Linked DNA regions of Caenorhabditis elegans. The protein of the gene in region 4 interacts with the protein of the main gene of each other region in a pairwise test. Each region holds a gene or a part of one and is shown on either strand. Other genes may lie near its edges.

The links.
Region 1: the proteins of nphp-1 (region 4) and sumv-1 interact in a two-hybrid assay, tested with the Caenorhabditis elegans proteins (one large-scale study listed by BioGRID).
Region 2: the proteins of nphp-1 (region 4) and rnst-2 interact in a two-hybrid assay, tested with the Caenorhabditis elegans proteins (one large-scale study listed by BioGRID).
Region 3: the proteins of nphp-1 (region 4) and snn-1 interact in a two-hybrid assay, tested with the Caenorhabditis elegans proteins (one large-scale study listed by BioGRID).

The regions. Positions count from the first base shown.
Region 1 is NC_003281.10:5,248,560-5,255,916, forward strand, and holds sumv-1 (Protein sumv-1), read right to left. Parts: upstream 5,629-7,357; 5' UTR 5,628-5,628; coding exon 5,487-5,627; intron 5,431-5,486; coding exon 5,255-5,430; intron 5,211-5,254; coding exon 5,118-5,210; intron 5,063-5,117; coding exon 4,914-5,062; intron 4,865-4,913; coding exon 4,785-4,864; intron 4,738-4,784; coding exon 4,566-4,737; intron 4,519-4,565; coding exon 4,420-4,518; intron 4,371-4,419; coding exon 4,279-4,370; intron 4,224-4,278; coding exon 4,155-4,223; intron 3,628-4,154; coding exon 3,383-3,627; intron 3,338-3,382; coding exon 3,285-3,337; intron 3,237-3,284; coding exon 3,049-3,236; intron 2,661-3,048; coding exon 2,498-2,660; intron 2,451-2,497; coding exon 2,240-2,450; intron 2,139-2,239; coding exon 1,884-2,138; intron 1,806-1,883; coding exon 1,261-1,805; intron 1,186-1,260; coding exon 1,022-1,185; intron 969-1,021; coding exon 866-968; intron 789-865; coding exon 712-788; 3' UTR 516-711; and 1 more. Other genes in the region: gop-1 (Protein CLEC16A homolog), read left to right, coding at 5,911-6,110, 6,159-6,289, 6,335-6,633, 6,685-6,877, 6,925-7,040, 7,091-7,248, 7,297-7,357. UniProt on the Caenorhabditis elegans protein: Nuclear factor that influences the activity of genes involved in vulval development.
Region 2 is NC_003283.11:1,059,769-1,067,604, reverse strand, and holds the start of rnst-2 (Ribonuclease T2 protein rnst-2), read right to left. Parts: upstream 6,011-7,836; 5' UTR 6,009-6,010; coding exon 5,725-6,008; intron 5,669-5,724; coding exon 5,543-5,668; intron 5,018-5,542; coding exon of another isoform or gene 4,947-5,017; intron 4,903-4,946; coding exon of another isoform or gene 4,454-4,902; intron 3,502-4,453; coding exon of another isoform or gene 3,014-3,501; intron 2,495-3,013; coding exon 2,341-2,494; intron 2,293-2,340; coding exon 2,137-2,292; intron 1,924-2,136; exon of another isoform or gene 1,909-1,923; coding exon of another isoform or gene 1,714-1,908; intron 1,503-1,713; coding exon of another isoform or gene 1,320-1,502; intron 1,277-1,319; coding exon of another isoform or gene 1,132-1,276; intron 270-1,131; coding exon of another isoform or gene 161-269; intron 110-160; coding exon of another isoform or gene 64-109; exon of another isoform or gene 37-63; intron 1-36. Other genes in the region: K10C9.7 (Homeobox domain-containing protein), read left to right, coding at 64-109, 161-269, 1,132-1,276, 1,320-1,502, 1,714-1,908; str-67 (Seven TM Receptor), read left to right, coding at 3,014-3,501, 4,454-4,902, 4,947-5,017. UniProt on the Caenorhabditis elegans protein: Probable endoribonuclease involved in the autophagy-mediated degradation of ribosomal RNA and ribosomal proteins in lysosomes.
Region 3 is NC_003282.8:1,812,099-1,816,896, forward strand, and holds the start of snn-1 (ATP-grasp domain-containing protein), read right to left. Parts: upstream 3,002-4,798; 5' UTR 2,999-3,001; coding exon 2,871-2,998; intron 1,841-2,870; coding exon 1,769-1,840; intron 1-1,768.
Region 4 is NC_003280.10:10,648,390-10,653,932, forward strand, and holds nphp-1 (Nephrocystin-1-like protein), read right to left. Parts: upstream 3,868-5,543; 5' UTR 3,841-3,867; coding exon 3,772-3,840; intron 3,250-3,771; coding exon 3,151-3,249; intron 2,898-3,150; coding exon 2,755-2,897; intron 2,699-2,754; coding exon 2,170-2,698; intron 2,120-2,169; coding exon 1,889-2,119; intron 1,711-1,888; coding exon 1,211-1,710; intron 1,133-1,210; coding exon 1,020-1,132; intron 975-1,019; coding exon 739-974; intron 678-738; coding exon 549-677; 3' UTR 504-548; downstream 1-503. Other genes in the region: M28.10 (Flo11 domain-containing protein), read left to right, coding at 1-134; lact-3 (Beta-lactamase-related domain-containing protein), read right to left, coding at 4,190-4,375, 5,111-5,248, 5,448-5,511. UniProt on the Caenorhabditis elegans protein: Plays a role in the extension of dendrites from phasmid ciliated sensory neurons. May be necessary for initial assembly of the cilium.

The DNA.
Region 1 (7,357 bases), on a different chromosome or scaffold from region 4:
CCATTGTAATGCATCCGGATGGTTTTTATTTATATTGCACCTATTTCCGCATACATACATGTATCACTTTAAAGGTACATGCCAAACTAAAATTAAAAATCTAAAAAATGTTAATACGAATTGTCTCGTTTTAATTAAATGTTTTCAAAAAAATTAGTTAGTGTAATCATAAATGTTAACTTTCGCTGCAAGACCACGTCTGAAAAATGCGTGCACCTTTAACCAGGCGTTCTCTTGTTTATTTAGTAATTGATAGGATCATCTTGATCCTTCAAACGAAAAAAGGGAAGTGTACACTTCATCCTTTAATTAATCCCTTATTTTGCCGCCAACATAATCCGTAGAAATGGTAACCGGATATACTCTGCACATCATTTTCTTTGAGGTGTCTTCTGTTCATATTGACACCTCCTGTTACGTAACACACAAGAGCTCTTTGTGCGGGAGAAGGTTGCGCCGAAATGTCGAATGGATTTGCATGAGGGGAATTACTAGATAAGAAGGGAGATGGAGAATACAATAAAACTATTTATGATTAACTGTAAGGCGAGACAAAATCATTAATAAGAATGCATAATTTCGGAGGTAACAAGGTGAAAATTATATGAAAATAAGATAATTCAACAGATCATTAAGAGAATAATGGTGAGGATAGCGAAATCGTGAAACAATATATTAAAAATTATGAAAAGTTGAAGCAAAATTAAAATTTCAAAGTTCCTCCTCATATTCCTCACTGTTTTCTCGTTTCTTTCCTATTGATGAACGAGAAGGTGACTTTCTTTGCGCTGAAAATGGAAAAAAGTAGAGAAATTAAACATTAATCTTTGGTTATAATGAGTTTAAAAAATAATTTCTCACTCACTTTTCTTTGTGCTTCCTCCATTTTTCGACGTACTCCCTATTGCTTGTTGTTGCTCTTCAGCAGCTGCAGCTACCGACAATTCAGCAAGCAAATCTAGCGGATTCTGAAAAATAATTTTTTTCCTATGATACTTCACAATATAAAAACAAATTTTACCTCTTGATCGGTGGAAGCAGCCGAAGAAGATGTAGACGCAGAGGGAACATTAGGTTTTGAATGAGAAATAGCTTGATTCGCTGCAATTGCGGCCGCCCGTGGTGTTCTTCCGGATGGAGTTGGTGTTGTCCGTTTTGTAGATGATTTTGGAGTTTTTGGACGATCTGAGAATTGAGAATATTATTAAAATATCAATCTTTATTAAATTACAAAGATTTTGGAAAAGTAGAATAACTAACCTATTTTCTCCTTTTCCTTTTCTGGAGATGGCACAGGTGCTGAAACATCTGATGATTTCTTTGCTGGAGGCTCTCCAGACACTGTCTCTGCAGAAGAAGAAGAAGTTGTATCGTGTATTAATGTAGCCTCCGAAGATGTTGATTCAGATGCCAAAGTTTCATCGATTTTCCGTTTATTGGAAGTTATTGTCATCGCAGCTGGTGCAACTTTTTCTATAACTTCTGGAGCTGGTGAAGGATTCGAAAATGATACATCTGATTGCGGATCCACTGATGATTCTGAACTTTTCGTCGGTTCTGGGACGCTTGTTGAAGCTGCAGAAGTTCCTTTTTGAGCGCCTCCCGCAGCTTTTGATGATTCTTTTGCACCGGGAGCACCGGCCTTTCTGCCTCCCTTTTCCGGTGAATTTCCAGCCATCAAGAGATCTATTTCATCTTGAGTTAGTGTTGAAAGATCCCGATTTCCAATTGACAAAAATGTTCGTACATTGATGTTTGCCAAACGTGGATCATGCTGAACTGTGTCCAATGCAGTATGCTGGGAGCTGAAAATAATTCAGAAATCAGAAGAAATCAGATTCTTTGAAGGTTTTGTGAATTTCGAATAATTTATAAATACAAACCCCGAAGCCACAGAACTTCTTGATGGACCAGCTACAGACGATGAACTTCCTGATCGAACAACCGTATAACTTGTTGTAACTCTTTGGGGTCCCATAAGACGGTAAGGTGGAACTGGAGTTTGTCGCCGAACAGCTTGAGGGCTCTGATTCATTGCTACTGGCATCATAGATCCTTGTCTTGGCGGAGAAATTAATTGAGGGCTTCCTTGTTGCGCTGACGGCGTCATTCCTGGTCTTTGGCCAGCCATTTGAGATCTGAAATCATGTAAACTTCAATTGAAATTGTAGAAACTTGAAAAATTTCCAGCTAACGGTGATAGTTTTCAGTTTATTGTTAGATTTCACGAAAAAATTACCTATAAGCTGGGCGAGTTCCGACATCGGCTGGATTAAGTCCTGCAGCTATAGCACGATGTGGTGCTATTGGAAGACGTGATGCTTGAGATCGAAAAGTTTGAGAAGATGTACCGGGTTGTGGTGATTTAGGAGGAGCCAATAGCTGAGATGATGATGTAGAAGTAGATGGAGTGAGTGGAGAGTGTTGGGCATGACGAGATGGAAGTTCAGCTGAAAATTCAAGATTAGATATTTTATTAACTAGACTTTTTTTTTACTTCTTCGATAGGCATTTTTATAATATGGAACACCGCGTCTCGATGGTTCTGGTCCTTGAAACATGGGTGATGGTCCAATATCATCTTCAATTGAATCTTGAGTTTGTTCTAATGGAATCATCTTCGGTTGCTGTGAACGAGCTGCATGAACTGGGAAACGAGGCTAGAAAATTATAAAATTGACACTTTTAGATTGGAAAAAATTATTATTTGGGACTAGGGCCTGTAGATTTTTGGTTTTTTTTTAAATGTTTTGCCGAAAATTTATTCTTCGTTTTTTTCGAAAATAAAAGTGAGCCAAAAACGTAAATTCTGATATACTGAAAACCTTAAAAATTTTTAAATTTTCCTTTCTCTCAAAAAAAAACAGTCATTCCCATTTTTAAAAGAGTGCAATTTTTATCCAGATATTAAAATTTTTCCGAATCACGTTTCAATATTACAACATTTTTCGTCTTTTTTTCGGTTTTGTCGCCAAATACCTAACGAGACCCATGACTCGGGGGCGGAGCGTATTGAAATGTACGTGGAGCTTGTTTGAATAATATTACCTGTGGAAGAGGCCGTGTAGCCGAGCTCGTAGATTGATTTTTCCATCCTTGAAAATTCATTTTTCCAGGTGACGAATTGTACGCTGTCGATATTATCGATGGCATTTTCTTTTGTGATTGTTGATGGAATTGATAAGAATTTGGAGATGTCCCAAATGATGGAGAACGTCTTGGTGGTAGTCGTTGTTCTGGAATTATAAATAATTGAAATTTTCCAATTTTAATCGTAAACTAACTCTTCTTTCCTCCACCAAACTGACTTGCATCAATAGGTCGAACTCTGAAATCACTATTATCTCTCTAAAAGTACATTCATCGTAAAATCAAGACCCACCTTGCACACGTTTGAGACATCATCTCTTCTTCTTGCATTTTTAATTTCTGTTGCTCGTGGAGCTGCTGTGATGTCATCGGAGGAGTTCTGTTAGCTTTTGGTTGATATGGTACTTGATTAATTCCTGGAGGTGGTCCCATTTGTGGTGGCCGGAGTACTTGAGCCGGTGGACCTTGATAACGACGGGGTAATGGAGCAGTTAATGTATTCGATTGATTTGAAAATTGTTGCATTGGGGAAACCATCTGTAACTTTTTTAAATGTTAGAATATTAAACGGCTCAAATAGGTTCAAAATCACCTCAAAAACCGAATTTCACAAACCTTTGAAAAAAAGCGCAAAAAAATGCAGAAAACAGAAAAAACCCAACTTTTTTTGGTCCAGCAAATAGAATAAAGCTTTTCACCTATTGTTACATTTTGTGGTAGTTTATTTCTTGTTCATACGTTGATTTAGGTACACTTAAAGGTGATAGGTTTCCTAAAATCATTGAAACTAGACAAGTTAGACCGAAATTTGGCAAAAATGATCACAATCGCTCAAAAAAACCCTTCTCCAAAATTGATAACTGCTGCGACACGGACAACCTCGTGAAATTTTATATTTCAGAAAATTTGAATTTGTTCAAAATTTTGAAAAAAAAACCTCGCTACAAAACTTTTTGGAAATTTTTGAGAAGTGAAAATCGGCTGCTTGAGGTCATTTTGGGAATATCAAAATCTAAATTGATCGGTTTTTTCTCTTTTAACTCAAAAATGTCTGAAAAACAAACCGATTCGATTCTTGACAAGTTTCCCAGTGTAGGCTCGTCGTCGTCGGATGAATTCAAATAGCAGGTTATCTAAAAATAACGACTTAAAAAATGTTTTTCTATAATTGAAAAAAAAACAATTTACCGAATTTTTCTCATCTTTCGGGGAAGCATGTTCACCAGGTTGGACACACCGATTACACGGGCAAGACGTAGTTTCAGCTATTGCAGAACTTTCTGGAAATTTTTTTAAAATCAGATTTTTTCAAAATGATTTGGCACTCACTTATATGGAACGAACATTTCGGATCAACTCCTCCAATTGCAGTAAGACCACATGCATTGCAGACATCGAACATTTTTTGAGAACGATCCAGTATAATATCTGGACTTTGAATTTGTAAGCCACGAAAAAATATTTTTAAAACTTACGATCAAAGCAAAATTTGCTAAGATGAAGCGCCGGCTTGTTACATTGCTTTTCAGAGTCGATTGGTTCAAAATTGTCAATTTTATCCAAAATAGAGTGCATTGTGTGTACAATAACTAAAGAATCATCCATATCTGGTCCAACACAACATTGATGGAATACTGGATCAATTGTCTAAAAAAATATCAATAGAATAATGAAACATTTTCAGAATTCATTACCGTCAATGTCAGATAGTCATTCCTTGAGTATTTTGTGGATGCTTTGAAAATTCTTCGCTGGGCCATATCTGTTGGATAATCTGAAAAACGCAATAAATTTCATCGAAAATGCCTATTAAATTGAATTACCTTCTTCTTCATCATTTCCTAACAATTCATGCTCTTTTTGTGCTTGACTTGTGACCAATTCTTTAAATTCAATTAAATCGTCAATATCCTTTTGTACTAAATCCATCTTGATATTCAATATATCTTTGTCAGTATAGTATTCAGCGTATCTGAAATTTCGAATTTATTTTTCTAATTCCCAAGAAAAATAATTAATAAGAATACCTTAACGAATTATTATCCAATATATCATCATTTGCCACATCTGGAAGACGCTGAGGAACTGTTTGAGCAGCTTGGAGGTAGTCGTCATCGTCTCTGGAAATTGTTATTTTCAATTTCAAAAAAAAAACTTTACTTACGAAATATACTCATTTGATGCAATCCACGGATCAAAACGACGTCTTTGCATCTTTGAATCATTTTCCGCATGGCACCGCATCACTTCTTTCTTATGATTATTTTCTAACGTTTTTGAAAATTCGACGTGCTCTTCACAACGGCCGCCATGTTTCGCAAGTTCTTCTTTTGATCGTATCTAAAATTTTAAATTTGAAAAAAAGCTTACTATCAAATTTTCGTATTTTTTCTCACCTGCTTACACCGAACAAGCGTTCGATACGAAGCATAATTACATTGTCCATACTTATTTTTGTCGTATTCATTGGCAACAAGACGGAATCGTGTTCCAGGTGCAACTATATATTGAGCAGGAGGACGAGTTGTTTGTTTCATGCTGCTTAAAAATAAAAATGGAAAATTGAGTCAAAAAGTTGAGATAAAACAAATTAAAACAATTTTCTGAAAAATAAACAACTGAAATTTGAAGTAATAAACAACACGCGAAAACGTTATTTCGGAGCATCGTTTGAGAAGTAAAACTTTTTTTCGGCGCACCCTTGTGCGCAGTTTTTATCTTCTCTTTTAATTTAATTTTCAAGCTAAATCTTTCTTTTTAAACTTTGAATAAATATTTAAATATTCAGAATGCACCAATAAACCTGGAACAAAATCGATAATGTTCCGCAAGCTTGGTTCTTCTGGGTCACTATGGAAGCCGAAAAATCCGCATTCTTTGGAATACCTCAAATATTTACAAGGAGTGCTCACAAAAAATGAGAAAGTTACGGAAAACAATAAGAAAATATTAGTAGAAGCATTACGAGCTATCGCAGAAATTCTCATTTGGGGCGATCAGAATGATGCTTCGGTTTTTGAGTGAGTTTTTTTCCAATGTTTTTTTTCAAATCTGATGTTGAATTTCAGTTTCTTCCTTGAGCGGCAAATGCTTCTTTATTTCTTGAAAATTATGGAACAAGGAAACACACCACTAAATGTACAATTACTGCAGACTTTGAACATTTTATTCGAAAATATTCGACATGAAACTTCACTTTGTAAGTTTTTTATATGGATTTTCGCTTAAAATTGCCAGTTTTCAGATTTCCTTCTAAGTAACAATCATGTAAACTCGATTATTTCCCACAAATTCGATTTACAAAATGATGAGATCATGGCTTACTACATTAGTTTTCTGAAAACTCTTTCATTTAAACTGAATCCAGCTACAATCCACTTCTTCTTCAATGAAACGACTGAAGAATTTCCATTGTTGGTAGAAGTTTTGAAGCTTTATAATTGGAATGAATCAATGGTTCGAATTGCTGTTAGAAATATTCTTTTAAATATTGTGAGAGTTCAAGATGATTCAATGATTATTTTCGCTATCAAGCATACAAAAGTTAGTAGAAAATTATTTTGAAAAGGTGTATTTAAGCAATAAATATTACAGGAATATCTATCGGAGTTAATAGATTCTCTAGTTGGTCTCTCACTTGAAATGGACACATTTGTACGATCTGCTGAGAATGTGTTAGCTAATCGAGAGAGATTACGAGGAAAAGTGGATGATTTAATTGATTTGATTCATTATATTGGTGAACTATTGGATGTGGAAGCTGTCGCCGAAAGTTTATCAATTTTAGGTCAGTTTTACTGCTGGAAAATCAAGTTTTTAATGTTAAATTTTCAGTAACAACACGATACTTAAGCCCTCTATTACTTTCAAGTATATCACCAAGAAGAGATAATCATTCACTTCTACTCACTCCGATTTCTGCGTTATTTTTTTTCTCTGAATTTTTATTGGTGAGTTTTAACATTTAAAATTACATTTTTCTAATTTATTTATTTTTCAGATAGTTCGTCACCATGAAACAATATATACATTTTTATCATCTTTCCTATTTGACACTCAGAATACTTTGACGACCCATTGGATACGTCATAATGAGAAATATTGCTTAGAACCGATTACATTATCATCACCAACCGGAGAATATGTGAATGAAGACCAGTAAGAGCTGAAATTTTAAAATTTTTGCTTTGAATATAGTATTTTCAGCGTATTTTTCGATTTTCTACTGGAAGCATTTGATTCCAGTCAAGCAGACGATTCGAAGGCA
Region 2 (7,836 bases), on a different chromosome or scaffold from region 4:
ACAAAATTATCGGAAAAAAATTTATTTCAAATTTGCAAAACTACTCTTCTCAACGAAAGAAAAATGAAGTCGATTCAAAATACTATCGATGAGCTTCGCAAACTTTCCGGTAAGAAACTTTGAAATTTTTGGATTTTATTTTAAATTTAATTTTTTTCAGCGGGAAAATCATCTGAAGAAGTGCAACGTTTGAAGGAAATGCAGAAGCACTCGAAAATGTTTGGCGAGATTTTTGGAGTCTACGGAGCAACGGTTGGAAAACCAAAGCCGTGAGTTTCCATTTTTGGAGTTCTGACGGTTACGGTTGTCTGGCTCTGTGCATTTGCATGACTGAAAAAGGGAAATACAAGTTTCTAGAGAATTCCTATAATTCCATTCTTGAAGCTTTTTGGTTAACCTTTTTCGAGAAACCACGAGCTTCTGGCCTTCCTCAATGCATTTTTCGCGCTCTATTGACAAAAAATTGCCTGCCGGACAAAGTGTGGGAAAGTCGTGTACGCCACACGGACAAATACCTATAGATTTACAATGAAAACCGAGCCACGAAACGCAAGGCGACACGCGACACGCAACGCGGCACGCAACGCATTGTAAATCGACCCCAGATGTGGCAGAGCGATAATGGTCTAATTCGGCGAACTCTTACATTTAAAAATTTGAGGAAAGCCAGAAGCCCGCGTAAATAGCAATTTGGAATAAGTTCTAGAAACGTGGGAAACTTGAGAAAATTCTGGAACTTTCTGGAAACTTCATTTAAAATTCTGAAATATTCACGGATTTCTGGCTTCCCTCATAAATTGAAATTTAAGAGTTTGCCAAACTAGGCCATTTTGGCTCGGCCATATCTAGGGTAGATTTACGACGCGTTGCGTGTCGCGTCGCGACTCGATTTCAGTTGCAAACTAAGTGTATTTGTCCGGGTGGAGTACACGACTTTCCCACGCGCTGTCCGGCCTTGTCAATGGAGCGCGAAAAATTCAGTGAAGAAGGCCAGAACCCCGTGAATTTTCTGGAATTTTCTGAAACATCCAGAATTCCATTTAAAAATCGCACTTCCTATGCAATGACTACCGTAAACCCACTTAGCACAGATTGCTGGAAAGTTCAAAAATGTTAAAAACTTTCTTTCAGAAAAGAGAAGGAGGTCAAAGTTCCGACAAAAGAAATGACATTCGAGGAAAAACGAAAGCTTCTCGAGACCACTTTCCCCAATAAAGTGACTCCGGGGCAGCGTGCCAAAGCACGTGAAACTCTCAATTTCATTGCTAACAACCCGGTAAGTTCCGACTATGCAACAGCGCTCTAATTGACAATTTCAGGAAATCTATGCAATCGCATCTCCGCAGGATCCATCTTCGAAGGCTAAAACTGATCCGGTGTCCCGTCCCCAGCTCAATATAATCAGTTCGTTCTCTTGGCCGATCACTTCCGGCTCGGATTGGTCTCCACACGGAAGCGAATTCAACGATTTGACTGCTCCGAGAGTTGGGAAATTGACACCGGTGAGTTCAATTCTATTTTTTACTAGGGACGCAGGCGACGAGATGCCTGCCTGCCTCGCCTTCTGCTAAAGATTTTCATAAAATGCAGAAAAAAGGCGAGAAGCAGGTGGGTTTCAGGCCGGCCAGCCTACCACAGAAGGAACGTTTCAAAGTATGCGAATGCATAATTCCAGCAGCCGACAACTGCCTAGTTCAACATGCAATTTTGCAGGTCCCCCAGTGGTCCGACATGAAAAAGTCGTCGTTGAAGCTTGGTACCGAGGACAACTTCTCCAAAATGTCATATGATCCGGCCTACTCGAATACTACCCAATCTCAATCTGTCACAACTCTCTACAATGAGACATCTACCCCATACTATGATGATTCGGATTTGGGAACTCCGCTGCATACTTGTGTTCAATAAATATTTCTAGGCACCATGTAAAAGTTCCGAATTTTTTGTTTTGACAGTGGAAAAATTCGAATAAAAAATCCGAAAGTATCTCGAGAAAAATTTGGTCTGAGAGTTTTGAAAACTGTCAATTGCCGAAAAATCTTGAATCGGCAATTTATTAAATTGCAAAATTCCAACAAAAAATGAAGGATTCGGAATTTTGGAAAAGGTCAAACAAAATTTTAAATCGTAACCAACCTGGAAGCTTGGAAGTGGTGGCCCGCGTCTATTTCTGCCAATTGATCTCTCGAATCTGCTGACTCGATTCGGATGTTTTCCATCAGTCGGACAGTCTCGGATTGTCAAGTCCTTGTTGAGACACAAGCGAATGTCACCGAGAAGGAACTGTTTGGTCTGAAATTTAATTTTTTAGCATGACAATTTTGAGGCTTAAAAGCGTACCTTCTTATCCCGGAGGCAATGGAATTGGAAAGTTTTTCCGCTGGTGACTCCGCTCAACGCGTTTTTCAAGTCGCTCGAGGTGATTGGTTTTTCCGATGGTCCAACTGATTTCAATCCTCCAGCCACATCGATAGAGTCGAAGACTTTCATTACCCTGAAAAAATTATGTATTTCTTGTTATTGATTAGTTCACTATAGAAATTTCATGCTTACCAAGACTGATTTATATATTTTTTTTAATTCTAATTTTTCAATGATTTTTCAACTCTACGAAATTTTTTTTAAGGAGATGATTATTTTTGCATTCCCGCGCAAATGAATGAACTATTTTTTGGAATTTTGAATTTGTGTGCATGTTCTGTTTACAAAGCTCGATAGTAAAATTCACCGACAAATAGTTTCCCAATCAGACAGAAATTGTATTAAGATTTATTGGTACATTCTTTGAAAACCATCATGTGTTTTTATCATTCGCCACTTGTGAATAATATTGTGAAATTTTTTTTAAAAAAAGAATTCAGTGATACAGACTGTGGTTGGTGTTTGTATAATATATTTAATTTCCGGTGCTTCATACAATATAAATCGTAGACTTCATTTCTTCATTACATACAAAAAATATTTCCCGGGCCGAACACTCTAATTCTCTCGTTAAGTCTTCGAAAAAGTAAGAATGAGATTGTACGATTTTTCTGAAATTTGCAGAAAAGTTGGGTTTTATGCCAGTTTCAGTACTAACTTTGTATTAATCTGGATTACTGTCTTTCACGCGAAAAAGCTTTTTGGAGCTTATAAGAAAATGATCATATATATCTCAGTTTTGAGCACAAGTTTCTCGGGACTAGAAATGATCATGAAACCGTTTACTCATAACTATAACGGTGCGCTGTTGTCCTTCAACTTATGCGAACTAAATATTCCACTCAAAATTCGGCAGATTTTCATATTAATTTGGTCCCAATTCTACCTAATTGTAATTTCATTCATATCTGTGCAGTTTGTGTACAGATATCTGTGCGTATTCAATGAACAGAAAACCAAATATTTTGACGGTCTTAAAACTATCATCTGGATTTTATATCCCTTGGTAGTAGGAACAATTTTCGCATTGTCCCTACACTATTTGTGTGGTTCTGATGAGTTCACAGATTCTTATATAAGGTGAGCAAATTAAGGAGCTACTGGCAAATCTAGATGTTAATTTAATATTCGTCATTTGTTTTACACGGGTAAGCGAAAGTATATATATGTTTTCGGTTTTTTTGCTGGTTGAAAATGTATATTGTAATTGAGTATAGCTCAAAAACTAGGAACTTCATAAAGAAAACTTCAACTAAAAAATTTTTGCTCGAAATGTTGTCTACTGAATAAACTACCGTATTTCCTTTATTAGTCTTGCAGCCTCTATTAGTATTGCATGCAAGACTAATAGAGAACTTACGGTGATAGTCTTCCATCCCTATTCTTGCCAGACCAGCAGTATTTTTTGAAAACTTCAACAATATCGCCATTTTATAGCTAAATTAAATTTTAAAGTGTTAAAATAATTGATAAAACAATAGAAAAGTATGTATTTTGCATGATTTAGACTATTTCGAGTCAAATTTTGACGATAAATGGCCAATTTCATAAAGCTATTGGATCTTCGAAAATTAGTCTTGCAGTCTCTATTAGTCTTGCACCCCTACGGGTCAATCAAAAATTAGTCTTGCATGCAAGACAAAATACGGTATGTTAAGATATTTCTTAACATGAAGGTCAAGAGATATAGCGGCCGACATTTTGTGAGTCCACTTTAAAGCATTTTTCTAGAAACGTTTTCTTTTTCAAAAATACAGTAAACTAGAGCTAACAGTAAAGGTTTGAACTAGCACTTTTCAAACACTGCTTTGCCCAATTGTTTAAAAACGTGGTATCATTTTTGAGTTTTTTTTTGTTGCTGTAATTACATTTCGTTTATCATTTAACTGAAAAAAAAGGGTTTACCAAAATTCAATAATCATTTTTAGAAATTGTTCGACTCGCAAAATGTCGGTCGCTATATCTCTTTACATAAATGTAATTTTAAACCAAAGTTTCTCATTTTAATTTTATCTCAAATTATTCATTACAGAAAAGCCATTTTTGAAAACTACGCACTGGAAGTATCCGAACTGCCACGATATGCAATGGTACCATATGCAGCTGATGGCTCAATTCGAGCGAAGGGTATAATTTTCTTACTCTTCGCAATTGTTCTCATCAGTTTTTCATATTGCATTATTATATTTACATGTGTTCAAATGCATCGAAATATGAAAAAAGAGCTGAAGAAATTCTCAACTCAAAATCAAAAACTTGAATATCAATTTTTCCTTGCTCTCGTTATGCAAACTATTGGACCAACTATTTTCTTAATAATACCAACTGGGCCGATATTGATGACCCCATTGATTGCACCAATTTTCGAACTTGAAGTCAATTGGCAAACTGGTAACTTGTACTCACTTGTTGGATTCTACCCATCATTTGATAGTATCGCTTTTATGATGATTGTTTCGGAATACAAAATTTTTTTGAAAAGTTATGGCATAATGATTGATCTAATATAATTGTTTTTATTACAGAAGTTATATGTTGCCGGATGAAGAATAACACAGCAGTGCCCAGTTCAGCAGTTGCGGTTTCAACTGTATAGACAATTGAACCATCTCATCAACTTCACAAATAATTATTTCATCAAACTTATTGAAATTAACATAAAATCATTATTTTTTTAATATTCGAATGAATACAGTTTTTTTCTTTATATGCTTTATATATTTACCGAATATTGTTATTTGTTATGTTATTTGTTATGATTTTGTTTAATTTTGCAAGAAAAAAAACAAAACATAAAAAGAGCTGAATTTTTTTTGAATTTCCGCGCGAATGAGTAGCCTAGTTTTTACTACTTAAAAAATAGCCAATTTTTCACACAATTCTTTAACAGTAAAGAAAACTTGATAAGCAGAAATAATTTTATGGGAACTGCCTCAAAAAAATCATGTTTCAAATTATAAAATAAAAAAAAGAAAGAAATCCCAATTAATATAGCTGGAGAGCGCAAAAATGCCAAAACTAGGTCTTCTTTTTTGGTTTTCAAAGTTTTGAAAGAGTTTAAATTCAGTAGATGTATCTACAAGTAAAACTCAAAATCATCGTTTAATTAGAAACAACTTACTCTGTGAAGTAAGCCAACTCTGACTCGAAGAGCTTCTCACTTTGAGCACATGTCCCGTGCTTATCATACTCGTGTTTCCAGAAGGATTGAATCGTCTTTTTAGGGTAGAGGTTTGGCCAGACAACTCTGAAAATTTAAAATGTTGTGATATTCAAAGTTTATTCCAAATTTTTGTAACTTACACCAATCGATCTTCAATTGATTTTATCAAATTCTCATCGAAATGTCTTGGAGTCCCACGACAATTTTGTGGGTACGAGCCATTCTCAAAGTTTGGCCACAATCCGTGAATTGACCATTGAGGGGTACCACTTGGAATCTCACAGGATTCAGGGACTGAATCATCATCGGCACGGCAGACGGCGGTTGGGTAGATTGTGGTGAACATTAGGTAGTCAAATGGCTCACCATCATGAGAATAGGCTAGGGGTATACAGGATATGCAGAGAAGAAGGAGAAGTTTCATTTCTGGAAATCTTGCGTGATTATTAGAAGTAAAAAAATAGATTAAGCATATTATCAGAAGCAGAAAAAAATCAAATGATATTTTTAGGTACACAGGTTCACTTTTTGTTTCAATTTTTCCGCCTTTTGGGCAAATTATTTTGAAAACTATTTAACAAAATTTGACAAAAATTCCACAAAGTCTACTACAATTTCAATATATACAGTTAAATTGGAAAAATTTAGAATGTTTTAAAATGCTAATAAATTCTGTAACTAATTTTTAATTTTTGACTCCAAATTTTCACCTGATTTCAAATTTAACAAAATTGAGATTTTTAATTTTATCTTCAAATTGCAAAATTACTTTGAGAGTTAATTGTAACTTTCATTGAAAAATTTTTTAAATCGTTTTCTTTCAATTTTTTTCAAAATTTTAAAACTTCAAGTTTTATTTTGGAAAATCCAACTCATCCTATAAATGCTCTTGGTTTGCGATAAATATAAGGAAGTTTTACAAAAAATAACACAAAAAAACGAGAAAAAGTATTGAAAATATACATTTCTGAATATTTTTGCCTACAAAAAATATTTTATTTAAATTTTTAAAAAATTGTATTTTTTTGATTTATGGAAATCAAAAGATTGCCAAATTGCAAAAAACAAAACTTTCAATAATCTAAAAAAACATCAATAAAACTTTTTGGAATTTTTCGGTTAGATTTTCAAAATTACAGGAAAAATTTGGTAAATTTGGTTTCTAAAATTTCATTTTAATAAGATGTTAAAAAGTAAGTATTGGAATAAGTTAAAAAATCCAAAAAATTATTTGAAAACAGCAGAAAAAGGACAATACGGATTATATTATCGACTGAAAATAAATCTGACCAAGAAACAGAACGCAATAATGTACGTACTGGAATGCTGGGAAGTGAGCAGTCTACTGGACAAAGGAGTGTCAAGTGACAGGTGCTAACAGCTGCCACATGATTTATTGTTGAGACCATTCAGATTTAAGACCAGATAATTTTTAATTAAGTGCAACTACATAGGATGGTTTTTGGTTTGAAAACTAATTTATTAGGAAAACAGAACATATTTGACCTCGCAGAAGAAACGCAAAAAAGAATGATACATATATCTTATCAAGAAAGTAGGTAAAGAAAAAACAATAAATGATAACAAACAGAGATAGTGTGACCTGAAAACAGAAAGTTTGATAGCGACTCAGCGTGGCCTAGAAATTGCGAAAAAGTTCGGCCACCAAGAATAGCGGCTAATATCAAACTAAAATGATCAAATGTAATGTAGAAATTTCAAAAGTTGATGTGAAATTTTCCGTCAAAAAACCTGAGCCACTTTTCACCCATCATTAAAAAGCAGGAAATAAACACTGATATTTTCAAATTTTGAACTTGTTTTAAATTATTGTTTTCAAACATTTTCCTCTGCAGAAGTGATTGAAGTTACTTGAAACCCCCTAACTTATCAAAACTTTAAATGAAATAATTTGAATTAGGTAGTTATTTAAGATAATTGTACAACATTAAACAACCGTATTGCCTCTATTACTTTTGCATGCAAGACTAATTTTTGATTGACTCGTAAGGGTGCAAGTCTAATAGAGGAAATACAGTTTTTAGATAAGTTCAACCGTGCATAATTACATTTTTAATTTGGCGCAAAAGTAATTTTTAGAGATATAGAAAAAAGCATGTCTGCTTCGTTATTTAAAAAAAACGTAGATATTTAGGCATAAGGCATGTCAGCTTACTTTGTAAATCTTAACATAAAAACAAAAATTATTACGACGTTAAGTTAATATGATACCCCCCAAAGTGTAATCACAA
Region 3 (4,798 bases), on a different chromosome or scaffold from region 4:
GAAATAATCTCAAGTATTCGAATTTTCCTTCAATTAAAACCACCCGAAAATGACGGAAAATAGCGATTTTTGAGTTTGACTCAAAATATCTCGGCTCAATGAGCTCCAATCTTTCTGAAAAAAAGAATACAGAGGTAGGGCAAGCTTTTTGAAAAGACAGCAAAAAACCGCATCAAAATCCATCCACCCACCGTCAAGTTACACGCGCGTTTTCAAAGTGAAATCTTTTTGTCGACAAAAAGGGGCGGAGCGAGGGTCATTTTTTTTTGGATTTTGAAGCTTAATATCTCGGCTCCTGTAAATCGAAATTGGCTCAAAATTCACAAGAAAACTTATTTCACTGCCGTCCTCCTGTCATTAAATTTTCGTGAGCTTAGACAGAAAACTGACAAAACGCCAAACTTTCAAATTTAAAAAAATAGTTGAGGGTCATTTTGAAAACACCTTAAGCTTCATAACTCGGCGAGTTTTGATGGAATCAATTTGAAATTTTACACGAAAGCTTCTTAGTGGCCTATACGTCTCTGTGTTAAATTTCGCTTTGATCGGCCAACGGGAACCCTTTGAAAAATGAAAAAAACGCTGTAATCCTAACCCTAAATAGCGTCAGTGCTGCTGTAATCCTAACCCTAAATAGCGTCAGTGCTGCTGTAATCCTAACCCTAAATAGCGTCACTGACGCCAAGCCAAGGCATAAGTTTTAGCCTAGGTCTAAACCTAAGCCTAAGAGTAAGCTTAAGACTAAGCCTAACCCTACGCGAAAGCCTAAGCTTAAGACTAAGCCTAAGCCTAAGCCTAAACCAAAGCCTAGGCCTAAACCTGAGTAAGCCTTTCGCATGGTAAAATAATTTTTTCAAAAAAAATTAAAACTTCCAAAATGTTACCAGAGTATTTACCTAGCCTTGTACATATTTAAAATAATCGAATGTCTGCAAAAAGCTGTATTTCGAGCAATTTTACGGGTGTGAAATTTTTTATGATATATTATCAATAAAACTGACCAATTTTCAAAGATGGAGTAGCGTCAGTGGATTTTTTTTTGTTTTTTTTTTTTAATACACTTATAATGATTTAAGACAACCGAGTATCACATCAAAAAACTCTAAAAAATTTTAGATTTTTCAAAATTTCCGGACAAAGTTTTGGCAAATTGCCAAAATTTCGAAAAAATATGAGCTCTTGAGGAAATCCCAAGCAATGTCGCATGTTTCGACCCCTACAATGTTTTAATACAAATAATTGAATCAAAATCATTTACTATATATAAAGCGCTTATTCCGTTTGTCCATAGTTTGTAGTCTATGTAGTCTTTGTAGTCTGCGAAGTTTTAGCTTCTGGAGGGATAGTGAGTTGGGGGTTAGTGTAGGGATATAGTCGGGGTACTGTAGTGGTACAATAGTGGTACGGTAGGAATACTGTAGGGTTACGGTAGTTTCATAAAAAATTAATTTTCAGCCCCAGAAGTCGGGGGCCGCGCCGAAGGTGCGGTCCACGGCTGGTAAATAAATAAATAAATAAAAATTGGTTTTTTAAAGCAAAAATCTTTGATGTGCGTTTGTAAATTGTTCAATTCTTATAAATTTGTCATAAAATATTGGGTCCCATCACGAAAATTCCCAGGTTTTCGCGGCAGGATCGCTAAGTTTTGAAATTTGATCAAAACATGTCATGATTATACTCAAATGAAAGCTCTCTCTTGAGCCAAACTCAAATTTTTTATTAATTTTTTGTTTCGAACAATTTTAAAGCAAAATTCCAGCTAACAAACCTATCATGATTGAGTGACCTCTCCAGTGCAGCGGCAAGTGATTCCCGAGACTTGGCAGGTGACGTTGGAGCACTGAAATAAGTGAACATATCTGACAAAGTGATTTAAACACATGTTATCTTGGCAGCAGAACAGAATATAGAAAAAAAATGTGCGGGTTTCCATGGAGATACCCAGATTTGCATTTTCTCGGGAAAAATGAAGGAAATTCTCTGAGGAAAATTTCCCACGATTCTCTCATTTTACACTATATTTTATTTTTTTTTTATCTTTGGCAGTCTCAAAAGAGCCGCACACTACAATTTTAATGAATGTTTTCGCTAGCGGGTTTTTTGGTTCTTTCTTTTTTTTTTTTGAAGTGGATGACAAATTTTCTTGAGAATTTGTGTATTTTTTGAAATAAAACTTTTAATTTGAGCTTTTTAAATGATCTGGTGAAATTTTGGAATTTGAAAAGATCAGGTGGTTCAGATAAGTATAAACAAGCCCAGGTTTAGAATTAAGAGATTTGGAGCATTCCTGTGCTCCGCGAGCATTATCTGAACTGATAAGAATCTTTTAGAATCAATTTTTCAAACAAAAAAGTTCGAGCCTGTTCAGAAAAGTATAAACAAGCCTAGGCTTGGAGCTTTAGAGATTTGAAGCATGAGCGGCTCTGTGAGCCCGGGAGCTCCAGAATCAAATTTTTTTAAACCAAGCAATATGGGTGTCAAATTGATGCTATTGGCAGGCTGTACAACAATTCTGAACTGGAATTTGAAAAATCTGGAAAATGAAGCATATTGAGCTCTTTTTTTAAATTTTTGTCAGACAAAATTGACTGGAAACTGGGAAAAATATATTAAAAAAAGGTTTTTGAAAATTTCATTTGAATTTTCAGATTAAAAAGCTCAAGGCGGCCTAGGTTTGGAATTTTAGAGATTTGGAGGATCGGCTGCTCTGTGAGCTCCGGGAGCTCCAAACTCAAAATTTTTAAAAACCAAGCTATGTGGGTGTCAAATTCAAACTTTCAAAGTTTTCTAAACTGGAGTCTTCCCAGCCGGCCGAGCTCACGGAGCACACAAATATTTGAGATTTTTTATTTTATTTTAAAATTTCGTACCTTATCGTATTAGACACCTTATTAGCAATCGACTGAAATGAAAAAGAGCTCGGCGGTCCCGAGTTCACGTCATCCATTGGCTCACCCTCATCCTCGGAAAACGAGAATTTTCGCTTGAAGAAATTCATTTTCTGAAACTGGAAAATTGGATTTTCGTGAGCAAAAAAAGGGGGAAAAAGAGCAAAATGTCAGAGAGAAGCCACAAATTTTCTTAAAATTTCCCCAGAGACCTTTTCAACCCATAATTAGAGTTAAAAATAACTAGAAACAACTCAAAAACCAAAAAAAAAAACCATGAAATGTACATTTTGTGGGTGAAGGAGAAAAGGGGAAAGTGTCTGGAGGGGTTGAAGCTAAGGAAGTGAATAGAGAGAGAGAGAGAGAGCACAGAGAGAAACTTAGAGATAAAGAGAAAAAAGATGGAGGAAAGTGGCGAGGAATAGGGGCATCAATTTGAAAAGCGAGAACGTCAGTCCCCCTAAGGGGCCCCACAAACTTTTTGATGAAATTTTGAGATTGTTTAGAGGCAAGGTTGGTGGCCTAACATTTTTAGTTTAAGCTTTTAGGCTGTGTGATTAGAATTTTTGAATTCCCCTAGATTTTGCGGTTTAGAAAAGAATAAACATGGCTAGACTTTGAATTTTTGAGGAATGGGCTCGCGGAGCACCAAAAAGTGTCGATTTTCTGGAAACGGGCTCTTGCCGGTGCTCCGCGAGCCAAAACCCAGAAATTTCAGAACCTGGACAATATGAATATTATCTGAAAACACTAAACACGCTGATTCTGATACTTGTGTTCATTTTCCTCAAAAATTCAAATTTGTGCTTTTTAGAGCTGAAAGACACTGGGCTCCGCGAGCTCGAGACCGAAAAATTCAGGACTTGGACTATTTGAAATCTCTCATTGCTACAGTTTTTTTTAAAGAAAAATGTGAATACTTATTTGGAGCATTTCGAGCTTAAAAGAAGAAATTTCAAAATTTTTTCAAAGAAGAAGAGACTTTCAAAAAAAAAAAAAGAAACGTCACTTTTTAATTATGGCTTGACACTGGAAGATGTCTAATCAAATTTGAAGAAAAAATAGGAAAAAAAAGGAAGAAAAAAAAAGACTAACTCACGAAAGAAACTATTCGGGCCTTTTCAGTCATGGTTTTCAAATTTTAAAATCAGAAAAGTATATACATTACTAGGTTTAAGATCGCTGAGCACATCTGAGAGCTAGGAACTTTCCTCAAAATTTAAAGCTATTTGGAGAATTTAAAACGAAACATTTCTTAATTTCAAGAGATGTGTGGGTAATCTTGTATTCATTGAAGTGAAACAAGAAAGAAGGCGAGACGAAAAAGCGTATAATCCCGTAAAGTCGAAATGTTATACCCCCTTTTCTGCGTCGAAAAAAGGGGAGAAGCCGCATCCAAAATGCACATGGAGACGGAGAGAAACATGAAACAAAATCAAATGGAGCCGGGCGTAAGGAGAGTGGGTGAAATTTACATTTGGGTGAAAACTGAATTACCCAAAAAATACTAGTAGATGAGAGCGCAGACAATTTTTCGAGCCTCTGGAAAATGTAGAGAAAGCTCGAAAATTTGAACTTTTTAAATTTCAAAAATTTTTTATATTTTTGCGCCGAAAAATGTGAAATTTTATTTGAAAAAATGTCAGAAATTTCTGGGTACAAAAACTTTAGCATAGGATCTACATATTGGTTCATGTTAAAAATGCAAAAGTCTAGAGAAGCTCAGTGAAAATTCGAGAATCAAGTGTCAACGGAGGGACGGGGACACAATGATTGATAGCTGACTTACATGGCTTCTAGTGGTTTTTCTTGTTTTCCTTTTTGCTGGTTTGGGGGAGGGGGGGGGGGGGGGGGGGGAAAGCTCGTGTTGGAGCATGGTGCATCGACGCTAAAAAACTCGGAGTTTCGAT
Region 4 (5,543 bases):
CATCCACAGCTGGTGGAGATACTACTGCAAGTGGAGCTTCTGTGGTATCAACCGCTGCTTCTTCCGAGGCCTCTACCGCCGCACCTGAAGCTTCTTCCGCTGCCGCTACTGTAATCAGCGGCAAGCCAGTTTAGGAACTCTTAGATTTCTCAGAACCACATCCTGATCGTCAGCTCGCAGAATTTCATGATGTAATAAAACCCCTTAATGGAATAAATTCGATGAGGCTGTGATTCTGAAAAATCGCCCAATTTTATTCATTATTGCGAATAAACATATTTCATTTCAAATCCATTTTTTGAGAGGGTACAGTGTGAAAATTTACAACTGAAAAATGGCCATTGCTCAGTTTTACCACTCCTATGTTTGGGAGTCGACTCTAAATTATTCAAATATTAAACAAAAAAACCAAAAATTTCAAAACCAAAAATTTCAAAACTTGAAATTTACTGAAACAATGACTGAAACATTTCTATGCTTAGATGCTAGATGAGTAGAACTTATTACACAGTTAAATTTTTTATTGAGCTTAATTTTATCTCCATAAATTAGTCAATAGAATGATTGCCTAAAAGATCCAATGAATAATCGATAATATTGATTGGTTTGCATTGTTGATCTGCGATGAACTGCTTGAAAAGTCCCTTATTCAATGCATCCACAAATCGTTGCATAGTCTGAAATGTTACAATAATCGAAGCCTGATTTTGAAACGAGCTCCAAGAGCAGCAGCTCTACCTGTTGCCTAATCGAAAGAGTAAGATCATCTTTGACATCATACGAAATCATTCGAATCCCATGAATAAAAAACGCGGTGTGTAGAAAAGTTTGGAAGAACTCGGCAGTTTGTTCAGCTTCGTTTTTCTTGGCGAGCACTTTCTTTTTGGTTTTCCAAATTTTCAGCATTATATCCATAATGTCATGCTGGTCACAAACAAATGGGAATACAGAGAGAAGTGGGTCAGATATAAATTCTGAAATTAGTTCAAAATATTGTTTGGGTGGGTATGAAATCCTACCAGCACTCAATGGATTCCGATTGTCCCGAATTAAAATGGTTCCAGCTCGTCGGCGGTAAAAGTGGAAGAATGGTAAATAAAGAGCATTGAATACTATGACATCGGGGAGGGAGCTGGAAAAATAATTTGGGTTGAACTTAAAGTCAGGTCAGGGATCCAGATTTTCAGCTTTCTTAGTTTCCAAAACTCACTCCACATATGAAACCTTATCCTTGGGAACATCCATCACTTGAACCAGAACTCTTCTTTTCGAAGCTTCCGGCAACTTCATTTTTGTCATCACTTCATCATCCAAATACAAAACATTCGTTCTACTTGGCACTGCTTTATCATCAATTATCAGTCGCAGATATGTATGTCCCAAACTCTTTTCCTCAATTCCTATTTGTGTCTTCACCAAATGAGATGCTTCCACAACAAGTACCACTGTCGGAGATCGATAGTTTGAGCGGAGAACAAAATCAGAAAACTCGATGCAGCTTCTCGTCTGGCTCTCTTTTTTCTCAAAGTACCACGTTGAAGATTTGACACGTGGCACAAGAGTGTGCACGTTGCTCACAATTTGAGTGGATTTTGGATTTGTGATGTCGACAAGAGCCATTCTGACAAGTGCCTTGTGTTCGATTAGGGGCATCTTTTCAAATCGAACTAGACGGATAATTTTTGATATATGGACAGTTCGCTTGTAAACCTGCAAAAAATATAGTTGATTTATGAAAGTGAGCAAAAAATGTGTTGCTATGAGTAGCAAATGATTCATAGTAAAAATTTTTAAAGCAATTTTCTCAGCCGTTTTTAGGAAGACTCAGAGGTTTTTTGGCAAAACTGTAGCATTTTTTGGGTAGAAACTGCAAGTTTTAAACTTTTACCTGATCCTTGTAATGACTCCAAAAAAGATCATGAAATCCAATATTTGAAGTTGATAGTCTCGGAGCCATATGGCACACTAGTGACAAGTGAGTGTCATTGTCATATGCTTTACCAAGACAGTCATCAACTCGAGATGCCTGCCGGTTTGCTTCTCGTCTTGATGGATCAGTAGTCGTAGATATTCCGATCACCGAATCTCGAACTCCGAGGCGACTAGACACTTTTGATGGCTGAAAATTTCTACTTATTAAACTAACGATACTAGAGAAAAGTAACAAACCACATTCTTCGGCTTTTCCTTAACATGTTGTAAATAAGTCTTTGGCACAAGACCCCTCTGACCATATTCATCCAGTGCAGTCCACCAACCATCGGATCTTGTCTGTGTGATTCGATACTTCTTTCCTTTGATTAACTCCAAATCCCCTTCAGCTTCTGCATCCCAACTGTCAATTGCAACAAAAACATTGCCACGGACTACAACTGGTTCCATAACTTCTCCAGAATCTCCACGACTCGGATTCTGAAGCCTTGAGATGACTTCATCAAGTTCTTGACGTTCATTCAAAGTCTTTGATTCAAGAGGTTTTGTAATTGTGATAGGTTGTCTGGGTTTTGGTTGAGGTTGCTGGTGCTGTTGCTGTGGAGGCTGTGGCTGACTCGGAAGAGGATCATCCAGCTGAACATCCGTCTCAATAATTTCTGAATCATTATCAGAATCTTCTGATTCATCATCGTTATACATTGTGCTTTTTCGGCGGCCAATTGCAGCCATTTTCGGTTTTTCTTCTTCTGATTGAGAGTCCACACTGGAATTGAATATTTAACTATTTATTAGAGAAATTGAATTTAATTATAATTTTACCTGACAGAAAACGATAATTGCTCCTTTTCCGGGCTCAAAGCTGTCAATCTTTGCTTCAACTTGTCAAGTTGCTCTAGAGCGTTTTCTTTCTTGTAGGTCTCGTCAGTTTTGGCCTTTTCAATTCGATTTCGGTGATCGTCGAGCTGCAAACTGTATGCATATGTTGATATCCTTGAATGATACTTCTACGTAGGCACGAGAATGCCTACCTACCAGAGTGCCTACGGTCTACACATATGCCTAACAATTTTTCAATGTTTGTAAACAATTAATTGAAATTAAATAGAAAGTTGGTCGACCTAAAATCTATGAATCAAACCGGAGATCCCATAATGGGCGGTAGGTAGGCCCGTAGGCAGCCAGGCATAAGGCAGATAGAGAAAATGCAATTTTTACCTGTCTATGCAATTCCTGGCACTGTCTGACAAAATGTTTGCGAAAACTTGCTCTCGACGCGGCTTCGGTGTCTTTTTGCTCTTTTTCGAGGCGATTTATCTGAAAAAAAGGCTTTTGCTATTTTTCCTTGAAAATACGGTTTACGGTCTAGACACGACAATTTTTGTCGAATGCGAAAAGTTGTGTGCCTTTAAAGAGTACTGTAATTCCAAACTTTCGTTGCAGAGGAATTTTTTAGTTTTTTAATAGTTTTTAGATGAAAATATGTACATTAAATTTAAAAAAAATTCTGGAATTTTGAATTACAGTACTCTTTAAAGACGCACACCTTTCCGCATTTAACAAAAATCTGTTGTGACGAGACTCAGTTTTAATTATACGTTTGAAATTTAATTAAAACGTTGAAAATGCGCCCCACTGCAACTTTTTGGGTATTGAAGGGATTTTTTTAGTTGGAAATGAACAATAAACCACGAATTCAATTTTTAGTTATTTAATAATGTGTAATGGAAAAATTAAAAAATTCACAATAATAATTTTTAAATAAATTACAAAAAAATCCAAAAATTGAAAAAAATCGAATTCCTTTTCAAATTCGTGTTAACAATTAATATTCCCCACCTGATATTCAAACTGCGGAAATCGATTTATGGCATCCTGCAGACTTAGAATGCTTCCAAATATGGACATCCTGCTTTCCTCTCCCCCTGGAAAGCTCTTTTCCGCGCGGCCACTTGCCTTAAGCCACCCTCGTTGCCCCTGGCAACTTGCGGGTTACCACCTGCCAGCTCCCCGCAAATGTGGTTAAAAACTGGTGAACTGATGGTTTATTAGTAAGGAAATCGAGAGAGAGCAGATAAATATGCAATTTTGTGGGGTCACTCGGTCAGTTAATTACGGGGGAAGAAGCTTCAACATTGAGAGAACGACACTTGGAATGAATGAATTAAAAACGGACTGTACAAAGAACACGCGGGATGATTTGGGATATATCTTAAAACTATATGGAATCACTAATTAAAAAATGAAATAAAATAAATTATGATTGAATATTAATTTGTTCGATGACATCATATACAGAAGTCTGAAGTCCCCAGTACGTCCTGCACAAGTCGTAGAGTCCCGTTTTCAACCCATTTGTGACGTAGGCAATTGTCACTCGATTCTTGAGATCTGTGATGACCATTTGGCATCCGTGCCCGGTATGTCCGAAGCCGAATTGAGTCTGAAAATATGGCGAATTATGAAAGAAAAATATTAAAAAAATTCACTGAAAATTAAATAAAAAAACGCTCCTAACATTTTGCAGGTTCTTTAGCTAAATTTAGGGTTTTAAATATTTTTTCTATGCATTTTCATTTTTTGAATGAATTCGAAATTAATGGTTTTTCAACAATTTCTCCTGTTTTTTCGTTTTCTGTTCACCACCTGGGCTCTTTTTTTTTGGTCCTTTGCTAATTTTTTGGGGGTTTCAAAATTTTTTTTTTTTTGCTTTTTTCGGCAGTTGTAATTTTATTACAAAAATGGATTTTTCAGTCTTTTTTAATGCAAAAATTAATTTTTGGCTGTTTATGTTTTATGTTTATTTATTTAATTTATTTTTAATTTTGTTAATTTTTGTTATTTTTGTTAATTTTTGTTAATTTTTGTTAATTTATGTTTATTTAGCAAAAAGGTACTTTTCGGGTTTTTTTGAGAAAAATTGATTTTTTTGAATTTTTTATGGGAAAAAGGACAGTGGTTTTTTTTTTCGCAAAAATGGATTTTTTAAAAGTTTTTTTTGGCAAAAATTAAAAAATCTGCTTTATTGGATGAATTTTGACTTTTTCGTTCTTTAAGAGTTTTTTCAGACTTTTGTTGGTTTTTTTGGTTTTTTTATTGTGAAAATGGATTTTTTAAAATTTTTCAGTTCAAAATTTCCATCATCCCTCGTCCCTCTTTCGATTATTCAAAATCTCACCCCAGCTCTATGAATGGGCAAATGGAAAAATCCGTGTCCCTTGGCGACAGTATCATCAAAAATGAAATCACTCTCGTTGACGAACGGTTTGCTTATCGTGTTCAGTGTAGCCTGATTGAGAAGTTTTCCTCGATTTACCTGAAACAATCCTCTTAACTATCGTTTTTGTTTCAGTTTTTTTAAACAGTCACAAGGAAATTTCCTTTTTCTTTTTTTTTGTTCGACTTAAAAATTTCTTTTCTTCGCTATCAGCCTAGTTTCAGCTGATAACGATGTTCAAACAAAACGAAAAAAAACTTAAAATTCTCATAAATTTATCAAAAAAACGAGAACAAACCTTGTCAAAAAGTGAGGCAAGAGAACGAGCATTTCCCATTCCAAGTGCGGCAGCTTGCTCCAATCTGGAAAAAAAACATGAATTTTAAAAAATGAA